3 linked regions of the Oryctolagus cuniculus genome follow. Each later gene encodes a partner of the first gene's protein in a complex. Links are inferred from orthologs where the notes say so. Each region holds a gene or a part of one and is shown in the gene's direction. Other genes may lie near its edges.

What was found.
Region 2: the proteins of KIFBP (region 1) and KIF15 are in contact, whole or in part, in a cryo-EM structure (PDB 6ZPH), measured with the Homo sapiens proteins. The link is inferred for Oryctolagus cuniculus from reciprocal best matches to the Homo sapiens genes KIFBP and KIF15. Residues at the interface, in NP_056449.1 of Homo sapiens: Lys26, Tyr33, Lys36, Ile106, Glu109, Ile147, Ser150, Glu151, Glu153, Thr208, His209, Tyr212, Tyr213, Gln216, Gln219, His220, Phe224, Gln238, Glu248, Trp249, Ile251, Asn252, Thr255, Gln258, Phe259, Asn262, Tyr415, Val416, Thr417, Glu421; in NP_064627.1 of Homo sapiens: Leu187, Glu189, Ile191, Lys192, Lys193, Arg231, Glu232, Arg235, Arg271, Met280, Arg281, Leu282, Lys283, Glu284, Ala285, Gly286, Asn287, Asn289, Arg290, Leu292, Ser293, Gly296, Gln297, Ile299, Ala301, Val303, Asp304, Val305, Gly306, His312.
Region 3: the proteins of KIFBP (region 1) and KIF18A are in contact, whole or in part, in a cryo-EM structure (PDB 7RSI), measured with the Homo sapiens proteins. The link is inferred for Oryctolagus cuniculus from reciprocal best matches to the Homo sapiens genes KIFBP and KIF18A. Residues at the interface, in NP_056449.1 of Homo sapiens: Ser150, Glu151, Tyr212, Tyr213, Gln216, His220, Gln238, Ile251, Asn252, Thr255, Gln258, Asn262, Gly414, Tyr415, Val459, Asp460, Leu461, Asn462, Pro463, Gln464, Leu467; in NP_112494.3 of Homo sapiens: Glu181, Thr183, Gln184, Lys185, Gly186, Arg274, Phe275, Val276, Glu277, Gly278, Thr279, Asn280, Ile281, Arg283, Ser284, Leu285, Leu288, Gly289, Val291, Ile292, Arg314, Lys317, Asp318, Gly322, Asn323.

The regions. Positions count from the first base shown.
Region 1 is NC_091446.1:60,775,590-60,779,654, forward strand, and holds the start of KIFBP (KIF-binding protein), read left to right. Parts: upstream 1-1,263; 5' UTR 1,264-1,359; coding exon 1,360-1,785; intron 1,786-4,065. UniProt on the Homo sapiens protein: Activator of KIF1B plus-end-directed microtubule motor activity. Required for organization of axonal microtubules, and axonal outgrowth and maintenance during peripheral and central nervous system development.
Region 2 is NC_091441.1:102,663,014-102,666,530, forward strand, and holds part of KIF15 (kinesin-like protein KIF15), read left to right. Parts: intron 1-44; coding exon 45-242; intron 243-1,310; coding exon 1,311-1,418; intron 1,419-1,594; coding exon 1,595-1,700; intron 1,701-3,109; coding exon 3,110-3,275; intron 3,276-3,517. UniProt on the Homo sapiens protein: Plus-end directed kinesin-like motor enzyme involved in mitotic spindle assembly.
Region 3 is NC_091432.1:38,231,572-38,235,088, forward strand, and holds part of KIF18A (kinesin-like protein KIF18A), read left to right. Parts: intron 1-1,299; 5' UTR 1,300-1,339; coding exon 1,340-1,664; intron 1,665-2,859; coding exon 2,860-3,017; intron 3,018-3,517.

The DNA.
Region 1 (4,065 bases):
CTCGCCGGTGCCGCGGCTCACTAGGCTAATCCTCCGCCTTGCGGCGCCAGCACACCGGGTTCTAGTCCCGGTCGTGGCACCAGATTCTGTCCCGGTTGCCCCTTTTCCAGGCCAGCTCTCTGCTGTGGCCAGGGAGTGCAGTGGAGGATGGCCCAAGTGCTTGGACCCTGCACCCCAAGGGAGACCAGGAGAAACACCTGGCTCCTGCCTTCGGATCAGCGCGGTGCACCGGTCGCAGCGGCCATTGGAGGGTGCACCAACGGCAAAACGAAGACCTTTCTCTCTGTTTCTCTCTCTCACTGTCCACTCTGCCTGTCAAATAAATAAATAAATAAATAAAATAAAAATAATTAAAAAAATAAAAATACCTATCTCAAGGCACTTCATGTGGCTAGAGCTTGGTAAAAGTCTCCCTTTCCCACTTGGTTACTTCAGTGGTAACCGGTCTTCCAGCCTGTTACCTCGGGCAGTTCACCTCTGTATTCCAGGCTCAGTGAAATAGGTACCTACCGGTGAGTGCTCCTATCCATAACTTTCCATCAAGAATTCATGTCCTAGTAAGCGATCCCTGTTAGAGAGCAGAGCCTTTTCCAAAGAAACTTAACCAGCGATGGGTGGGGTATACCTTAATCTCAAAGGTCGGTTGCCTTCCAGTTTACATCCATTAGCTATTTTCCTTCTTTTTTAAAATTTTTTTTATTTATTTTTTATTTGAAAGGCAGAGTTACAGAGAGAGCAAGAGACTGACAAATCTTCCATCGGCTTGGTTCATTCTCCAAATGGCTGCAATGGCCAGGGCTGGTCCAGGAGGGAGCTAGGAGCTTCATCCAGGTCTCCCACTCGTGGAGGCAGCTTCTTCCACTGCTTTTCCAGGCACATTAGGAGGGAGCTTGACTGAAGTGGAGCAGCCGGGACTCGAACCGGTGATCATACAGGATGCCGGGGGTACAGGCGGGGGCCTAACCCGCTACGCTACAATGCCGGCCCTGATATTTTTGTAAACTATATTCCAAAACGTTTCGGTAAAGTAAGCGGATATTAAACATTTTAATATGCACTATACATACACACACTTCACAGGGTGAACTAACAGGAGACGACACCACGACGTAGTGGGGCGGGGCTGGAGGCGGGGACACCCTCGGGGACCTATTTTCTAGACAGCAGTTGCCATGGCGACCACCTCGCCTTCCCATTGGTCACTGCCGAACCTATTGCGGTTCCCCAAGCGGACTTTAATTGGCTGCCGATCTGCCGCAGCCCGACCTGTCGAGAGCCGTAAGTGAAGTGTCGCAAAGCAGAAGGAAGGCGGGAGTCCCGACTGCAAACACTGAGAAAGCCCCGGCTGTAGGGGCCGCTATGGCGAGTGCGCAGTGGGCCGAGGTCCGAGAGAAATTCCAGGCGGCGCTGGCCCTGTCGCGAGTGGAACTGCATAAAAACCCGGAGAAGGAACCGTACAAGTCCAAATACAGCGCCAGAGCGCTGCTGGAAGAGGTCAAGGCGCTGCTCGGCCCCGCGCCCGACGACGAGGATGAGCGGCTGCAGGCCGACGAGGGCTTGGGCGCTGGGGACCACGCCCTGGGGCTGCCCACGGAGGTGGTGGAGGCCGAAGGGCCCGTCGCCCAGCGGGCGGTCAGGCTGGCGGTTATAGAGTTCCACCTCGGGGTGAACCACATCGACACCGAGGAGCTGTCGGCGGGCGAGGAGCACCTGGTGAAATGCCTGCGGCTGCTGCGCAGGTACCGGCTCTCGCACGGCTGCATCTCCCTCTACATCCAGGCGCAGGTGAGAGCGAGCCCGGCCGGCCGCCGTGCAGCCCCCAGAGCCGGCCCCGGGCCGTGCGAGGCGAGGGCGTGGAGAGGAGCCCCCGCTCCGGGCCGTGTTAGATATGGCACGACTTCTGCTCGTGTGTTTGAAGCGGTGGGAAAGGCCAGCCTTAGGACTTGGAGCCGTGTAACCGCATCCCCCTGCGCTGGCTTCCATACTCCCTCTCCATGCCTCGCTTGCCCACGGGCAGCACGCTGGTTTCCGGGGCCCTCCTGCGTGTCATGTGCCCGCCGGCTCTCCGCTGTCCAGAGACTGGTCATTCTGTTAAAATCCAGACTAATGTAAATCTTAACTTAAGGTGTCGTGGAAATGACAGTGACCGTAAAACATTAATAATTCAAAACAAAATGTCTGAAGTCTTCAGTTTCCGTTGCTACATTGGTTCGCCCCCCCGGGGGATTCCTGCCCATTCAAAACCATCCCAAGAATCACCTCATTTCAGTAACTTTCTTTGGATCATTTTGGTTCAGACTGATCTCTTTACCACCTTTGAATACTTACAATATTCCCGTTTTTATGGTGCTTGATAAGAAATAAACCAACATTCTGCATTGGGAACAAAACTCTTGAAAATACAAGGATGCATGAGCTTCCTGTGTGTGCCAGGATGTTTGCTTACTCTCACAGCCAGTAGTTCCAGGACCCAGTGTAGGTGATTGAGGGAATATTACCAAAGTGGATTTGATGGCAAGTAGGTCTCAAAGACAAACCTCAAAATTAAGAGACAACTCATACTGGATCATATTCTTTTGTCATGGTCCAGCAATTTGAAAGCCACACAGTAACAGAGACTACCTTTTCTTAAACTCACCCCAGTAGGTGGCACATAGTGTGCAGATTCTAAATATCTCTTGAGTGGATGAGGAACTATTGAAATTTGTAATATGTTAAATTCAAACTAAACTTCAGTTATCTGAAGTTTTCCTTAACCATATAACCTCAGATTTTTTTTTTTTTTTTTTTTTTTTTTTGGACAGGCAGAGTGGACCGTGAGAGAGAGAGAGAGAGAGAAAGGTCTTCCTTTTGCTGTTGGTTCACCCTCCAATGGCCACCGTGGCCAGCCTGCTGTGGCTGGCGCACCGCGCTGATCCGATGGCCGGAGCTAGGTGCTTCTCCTGGTCTCCCATGGGATGCAGGGCCCAAGGACTTGGGCCATCCTGCACTGCGCTCCCTGGCCACAGCAGAGAGCTGGCCTGGAAGAGGGGCAACCGGGACAGAATCCGGTGCCCTGACCGGGACTAGAACCTGGGGTGCCGGCGCCGCAAGGCGGAGGATTAGCCTAGTGAGCTGTGGCGCCGGCCATAACCTCAGATCTTAATGAGTACTTTAAAAATTATTTAAGGAGTGGTTGTTGTGGCGCAGCGGGTTACACCACTGCTTGCAGTGCCAGCATACTTGATTGAGGCATGGAGCCCTGATGTGGAGTCCTGGCTGCTCCACTTCCAATCCAGCTCCCTGCTAATGTGCTCCCTGGGAGACAGCAGGTATTCCTGCGTCAACATGGGGGACCCAGATGGGGCTCCTGGATCCTGGCTTTGGCCTAGCTCAGCCCTAGCTGTTGCAGCCATTTAGGGAGTGAACCAGTGATGAAAGATCTCTTTCTCTATTGTTATTCCATCTCTGTCACTTGGCCTTTCAAATAAATTAAATAAATCTTAAAAAATCTGTTAAAGGCCGATGCCGCTGTGGATCACTTGGTTAATCCTCCGCCTGCGGCACTGGCATCCCATATGGGCGCTGGTTCTAGTCCCGGCTGCTCCTCTTCCAGTCCAGCTCTCTGCTGTGGCCTGGGAGGGCAGTGGAGGATGGCCCAAATGCTTGGGCCCTGCACCCTCATGGGAGACCAGGAAGAAGCACCTGGCTCCTGGCTTCAGATCGGCGCAGCTCCAGTTGTGGCAGTCATTTGAGGAGTGAACCAACGGAAGGAAGACCTTGCTCTCTCTCTCTCTCTCTCTCACTGTCTGTAACTCTACCTGTCAAATAAAAAAAAATCTGTTAAAAAGAATAAGTAAATAATGTTGAACAGAGAACTGCCCAATCTCATTATATTATCAGTATGACCTACAGTGCTAACTACTGAGGACAGATCAAGTCACTTTTTCATAAAATTATTGAGTTGATATATTTTATGTTTCTGTGGAATGACCAAGTCACTTTTTTTTTTCTTAAGGATTTATTTTGTTTATTTGAAAGACAGGCTTACAGAGAGGCAGAGAGAGGGGAGGGAGTCTTCCAAAC
Region 2 (3,517 bases), on another chromosome or scaffold:
TCATGTGTGCTAATGTTGTTTTCCATAATCATTTTCTGCTGCAGATTATAACTACACCAACCAAGGCTTATCAGCTTCGTTCTCTGCTGGTGCCAAAAATGAGCCCTGAAATAGGGAGCTTTACTCCTGCGCACACTGAGGAGTCCAGCAAAGTAGATAATGACATCGCAAATGAGCCCATTCCCCCTGAGATGAGCGAGCAAGCATTTGAGGCCATTTCAGAAGAGCTGAGAACAGTGCAGGTAATGCTTAGTTTTAGAAATAGTAAATAATTGAACACTTATTTAAATAAAGTTGCTTTATCTGCCATTTTACCTCCCTGTAATTTGTGCTGTTCAAACCTGCTTAGTGCTGTAATTGTCTTGCTAAGTCTGCGTATGTAAAGGTCCCTGGCTAGGAAATCAGCCTGCCCTTCTCTTTTAATTCACTTTGCAGTCTTTAGCAAGTCATTTTCCAACCTCTGTGGATTTAGTTCCTTCATGCATAAAATGACCAGACTGCCACAAGCAAACCAGTTCCAGAACTGACGTGTATGGCATGATGCTGAGTCTTGTACAGAGAGTGAAAATAATTTGAAAAACTGTTACACATGAGATGTTTGACAGCTTTTAGAGTATTTGAAATAACATGTGAAATTTGATTATTTCAGAATTTAGTCATTTGGCGATTTTTTCACAAAGCTGTCCAATAAAACTTGGAATGGACCAGACTGCTCCCCATCCCAAGTCTGCCCCTCCCAGGCCTTGGACGTCCTTGGATGAGGTTATCTCTTGCAACCTGAGGAAGCTTCTTAGAAGTCTCAGGTGGCATTTGGTTTAACCCAGGATATAAAATTGTTTTAAAGTTTTTACTTATTTTATTTAATTGAAAGATAGCGCTCTTACCTGCTTGTGCACTTAAATGCCCATAACAGCTGGGTCTGGGCCAGGCCAAAGGGAGGAGCCTGGAACTCAGTCTAGGTCTCCCACATGGGTGGCAAGGACCCCAGTACTTGCCCCAGCCTCTTCAGTATGGGATGAGGGAATCTCAAATGACATGTTAACTGCAGCCCCAAATGCCCACCCCAGGATGTCAGTTTTAATCACTCTGTCCTCTGTGTTTCACTTGTTACCTTTGATGGAGGGTGTTCTGAAGCATGAGACACTCTATAGCCTTTTGAAATGGTTTTCTACCCCCAGTCAGGCCTTGGATACCTTTTTTCAGTGAAACTTTGAGTTTGCTTTGTGTGTGGTCTCTAATGCAGAAGAAAAGGTGGGGTGGTTGAGAATTCCATTGGGAGAACTTTGGTGACTGAAGTCTCTGTGTTGCAGGAACAAATGAGTTCTCTTCAAGTCAAGTTGGACGAAGAAGAGCACAAAAACCTGAAGCTGCAGCAGCATGTCGACAGACTGGAGCATCACTCCACACAGATGCAGGAGGTGAGACAGGCGCCATGTGCCCCATGGCCTCAAAGACAGAGCCCATGGGAGGCCATGATGTCAGCTGCACGTTCTGCCCTGAGAAGGAGACAGAGAGCACAAAACAGGTTAAGGATCTGCAGCGTGTCGTGGCTGACCAGTGTTCCTTTTCCAATAAATGCATGTTTTTCCCAAAGCTTTTCTCATCAGAAAGAACTGATTGGGCCAAACAGCAGCAGGAGCATCTCTCACAGTTGAACATCCTTGACAAGCAGCTGCGAGACACTCAAACCAAGAATGACTGTAAGTGAGAGCGCCGACGGGCTTTGTGGCTCTGTTCATTTACATAATGCTGCCCTGGCTTTTGCTTGGTTCCATTTCACTGTTACTTGTCGTGAGATGACTAGACATAAGCTGTGTGTGTGGTAGCTGAGTAGTATATCATAAAAGGTAGTAATTACCTTCAGCATTGTCAACACATAAATGATTCAATTGTTTGCTTAAAGTTTTAAGTAAACTGCTTTGAGAATGAAGTCTCTTCAATTCATAAGATGAATATTTTGCTATTGACAACAACACATAAATTAGAGACTTGTAGATATTTGTAGATGTGAGAATCTTATTTGATGGCTAGTTTTTTATTTCTCCCTTCATCAGAGTATGTGCAAGTAGTTTATAATACAGCTAAAATGAAAGCCGATCTGTTTCCTTTAGAGTTATTTATTTATTTGAAAGGTAGAGTTAGAGAGAAAGAAGGAGAAGCAGAGATCTTCTATCTACTGGGACTCCCCAGATGGTCACAATGGAAGGGCTGGGCCAGGCCGAAGCCAGGAAGAGCCTGAACTCCATCCTGATCTCCCACGTGGGTGGCAGGGACCCGAGCACTTGGGCCATCTTCTGCCGCTTTCCCAAGTGCATTATCAGGGAGCTGGATCAGAAGTGAAACAGCTAGGACATACATCAGCACCCCATGTGGAAAGCTGGTGTCGCAGGCAGCGACATAACACTACACCAGGGTGCCAGCCCCATTTTTGTTTAATTACCTAATTATATTTGCAAGTGGAGTCTCATTAGGACACCAGAAATGCTTAACCTGTATTGTGAAGTTCTGATACATTTCCAAGGGATTTGTAATTCATGAGATTATATTGGGGCCGCCGCTGTGGCGCAGCAGGTTAACGCCCTGGCACGAAGCGCCAGCATCCCATATGGGCGCCGGTTCTATTCCTGGCTGCTCCTCTTCCCATCCAGCTCTCTGCTGTGGCCTGGGAAAGCAGTAGAAGATGGCCCGAGTCCTTGGACCCCTGCACCCATGCGGGAGACCCAGAAGAAGCTCCTGGCTCCTGGCTTTGGCCTGGCCCAGTCCAGTTGTTGCAGCCATTTGGGGAGTAAACCAACAGATGAGAAACCTTTTTCTCCAACTCTGCCTTTCTAATAAATAAGTCTTTAAAAAAATTTTTTTTGATGCACATTCTGTGGGAGAAATCTGCAGAAGTCTAGTTACCTGTGAGCTGACTCTTCCTTTTTGATAGAAATGTTTCAAAAAGCATAAGCAGGGAAGAAGAAAATGAGAAGAGACAGGCCCCTCTCTGAAAGAGGTCCCTTACCTTGAATGTGCGGATTTGGCAAGGGGACCTCCCGAGTTCATTTGCCTACTTTATGAAACACACTGGTGAAGATCGCCGTTGAGGATTTGTTTTGTTTCTGCTTAGTCCTGAGGAGCGAGGTGCATGACCTGCGGGTGGTGCTTCACTCTGCCGACAAGGAGCTGTCCTCTGTGAAACTGGAGTACAGCGCGTTCAGAGCGCGCCAGGAGGAGGAGCTCAGCCAGCTTTCCGAGAGGCACGTGCACGTCCAGCTGCAGCTCGACAGCGTCAGGTACCCAGCTTCCTCTGCGGCTCCAGGCTGTTGCTTGGCTGTGACCTAGGACTGCTGGAAATACACGTGTTGTAAGTCCAGCGCACGCTGGGGAGTGCAGAGGGGATAAACTAGCCTGCAGCTCAGGATCGTCGGTCTCTCTCTGTCTCAGCCCCGCTTCCCTCTGTGGGGTGTGCTTGTTTTCTGCTGCACTGAGGACCAGCCTCGAGGTGACAAGGAGCAGTATGCCTCAGACAGATAGC
Region 3 (3,517 bases), on another chromosome or scaffold:
TTTCATCTTCTCAAACTAAAACTTTGTACCCTTTTGATTAACCTTGCACCTTTCTCCACACATCCTATGCCTACCCCCACCCCTAGCCTCTGGTAATCATCATTCAACTGTAATTCTGAGTTCAAATTTTAAAGATTCTATATGTAAGTGAGATCATACAATTTTTGTTTTTCTGTGCTTGGTTTAACTCACTTGAGATAATATCCTCTATATTCATCCATGTTTGTCACAAATAACAGAATTCCATTCTTTTGTAAGGCTGAATAGTACTCCACTTTGTTTATATACCCCAATTTACCATAGCCACTCATCTATTGGTAGGCACTTAAGTGTTTCCACATCTTGGTTATTTTGACTGGTATTGCAGTGAACATCAGAGTTAAGACAGCTCTTCAATATTACTGGTTTTTGTTCCTTTGGATATATTCCCAGAAGTGGGATTAATAGATTGCATTTAGTCCCTCAACAACTTCAAGTCTTTTCTCAAATGTTGTTTTGGTGTTTATTTGTTATAACTTTCAGGTTCTAGATTAATATCTGAATAATTGAGACTTCCAAATTATTGATCTTTGTTAGTTTACCTTTAATCTTTTCATGTGAGGTAGTTAGAAGGTCAAACCACAATTTTTTATGTCCATTATCATTAGCCAGCAGAGATTAGGATCTATGAATGTACCAAAGAGTATATACCATCTCTGTCAATCTCACACCTTAGCTAGCTACTTGATGCATCCTTGGAACTATTTTTAACCCGATGAGATTCTGAGATAATGTTAAGATCAACTGGATGCATCACTTTTCTCTACCAAGAGTTCTGCAACCACGATCGCTTTACTAAAAATAGCTCACAAGCTAAAGCTCTCTCGGCATTTGCTTGATATGATTCTGAATGATCGTTTGCTTTCCATTCTCAGGACCCAAGCTAAAATAGTAGTAGACCCCTTGTGAATGTCAGAGCTGGGATTTGTGGGTAGCATAACTGATTACATGAGGTTCATCCATAGTATTTGAGTTTAATCTGAAGCCCAGGATCTGACTAATAATTCAGATGAAGAGGGTTTTTTTCTTGGTTTTGTGTACATGTGTGCCATTTAACTTTTTGTTTGAGGATATGTAAATGCATGTATTTTTTTTTTCCCCAGTAACATTTACTAGGTGAGTAGAACAGAATTGATACCTTTTTCAAATGAATACTACACAATAGTATATTGTATTCAAATGAATGAATTGTATTCAAATGAATGTATTCAAATGAATACAATAAGTAGAACTAATAATGAAACTTTTTTTTAATTTTAGAGAAAGATCTAGGTATAGTCAGAAATCAAGATAATCAACAATGTCTGCCACTGAAGAAGACCTGTGTCACCACATGAAAGTAGTTGTTCGTGTACGTCCTGAAAACACAAAGGAAAAGGCAGCTGGATTCCGTAAAGTGGTCCATGTTGTGGATAAACATATACTACTTTTTGATCCCAAACAAGAAGAAATCAGTTTTTTTCATAAAAAGAAAACTACAAATTTTGATATTACAAAGAGACAAAATAAAGATCTTAAATTTGTATTTGATACTGTTTTTGATGAAACTTCAACTCAATTGGAAGTTTTTGAACAAACAACTAAGCCAATTCTTCGTAGTTTTTTGAATGGATATAATTGCACAGGTAATTGTTTCAGTTTGGCATTCAATTTCTCCATTTGGATTGCAGTTTTATATAGGAAAATCATATAGTTGGCCCTTATTAAGATGCTTCTGTGGTAAAGTTCAGCAGACAAATGACAAAATAGACTTTCTTTAAAATTTTGCCATTGTATATAACATATATCAATTGTGAGACTTTGTTTCCTGTGGTCTCATTGTGTCCCCTATAGATTTAATCCTTTCTGTTTCCTATATTATTAAACCACATATTTCTGGCAGTTTACAGTGGAGTTCTCAAAATTTGTATTCCTAAATATACCCACTGCTGACCTCTACAATTATCTATCTCTGGGGTAGTAGTCCTGGTTTTCTGAATACTTAGTAATATCATTGCAACACTGTTTATCTTGATGATACATTGAAATAAAAATATTAAAAGTTCATCTTATCTGAATATTTTGTGCCATTTTAGGATATCAGAGCCCAAAAAGTCTAATGCTTTGGAGAGGCTATAGTAATTTTCCTTTCAAATTACTGTTGATCCTAGAATAAATGAGACCCTTAATAGTCAGTTAATTCAATTTATACATTTTAGGAAATGCATGGCTGTTATGTTATTAATATCATATTTTCATAGTTAAAAGTTTGTATAACATTTCTCCAAGACACCCCTCAAAGACAGTGGTATAGAAAAGGAGCAGCAAATGCTGAAAACATTGAATCTAATACATCTAGAAATAAGAAATAAACCTGGAAAAATAAACAAGCACCTTCCCTTAGAGTGATTTATCATTTTTCCAAGGTGGGGAATTTGAATTTCTCATGTAGGAATATGAGACTAAATGGAAAGTTTAACATAATTGGATCCCATTTTGCTGAAGATGATTTTAGTATGAATCCCAAGGGATGGATAATAGAAGACTGAGACTAATAGGTAGGGAGATCCATGATTGGTTAAAATTTACAAGACTACTTTGGAAGAAAGGGCACAAGTTTGGAGTAGGAGGTGCTGGGTGATGGTAGCATTAATCACAATGGAATATGGGTGTAAGAGATTTGTGCTAGAATTCCCAGGTTTTGAGCATTAATCAAATTTGGATCTGTTAGGTTTAAAGTTACTGTAAAGAATATCCAGATGGAACTATCCACTTGTCAGTGCATAGGAGAGTGTTACATGTCATAACAAAGAGCTTTGATTCCTTTTCATAAAAATTCAGTACTTGCCTATGGGGCCACTGGAGCTGGGAAGACCCACACAATGCTAGGATCAGTTGGTGAACCTGGAGTGATGTACCTAACGATGTTAGACCTTTACAAATCCATGGATGAAATTAAAGAAGAGAAAGTATGCAGTACTGCAGTCTCTTATCTGGAGGTAAGCTGGCAGTTTCATTTGTTTAAATTAATAGTTTTGAGAAATCTTTGTTATGGTTCATTAAAACTATTTTATTGCACAAGAGTTTTCAATATATAAATTCATTAAAATTCCTGGTCTGGAGTATTTATTGTACATTTTTTTAGGGTTAATTTTTTATGGGGCCGACGCTGTGGCTCACTTTGTTAATCCTCTGCCTGCGGCGCTGGCATCCCATATGGGCGCCGGGTTCTAGTCCCGGTTGCTCCTCTTTCAGTCCAGCTCTCTGCTGTGGCCCAGGAAGGCAGTGGAGGATGGCCCAGGTGCTTGGGCCTCTGCATCCACATAGGAGACCAGGGGGAAGCACCAGGCTCCTGGCTTCGGATCGCCGGCCATGGTGGCCATTTGTTGTTTTTTTTTTTTTTTGGACAGGCAGAGTTAGACAGTGAGAGAGAGAGACAGAGAGAAAGGTCTTCCTTCCGTTGGTTCACCCCCAAATGGCCACTACGGCTGTTGCTGCG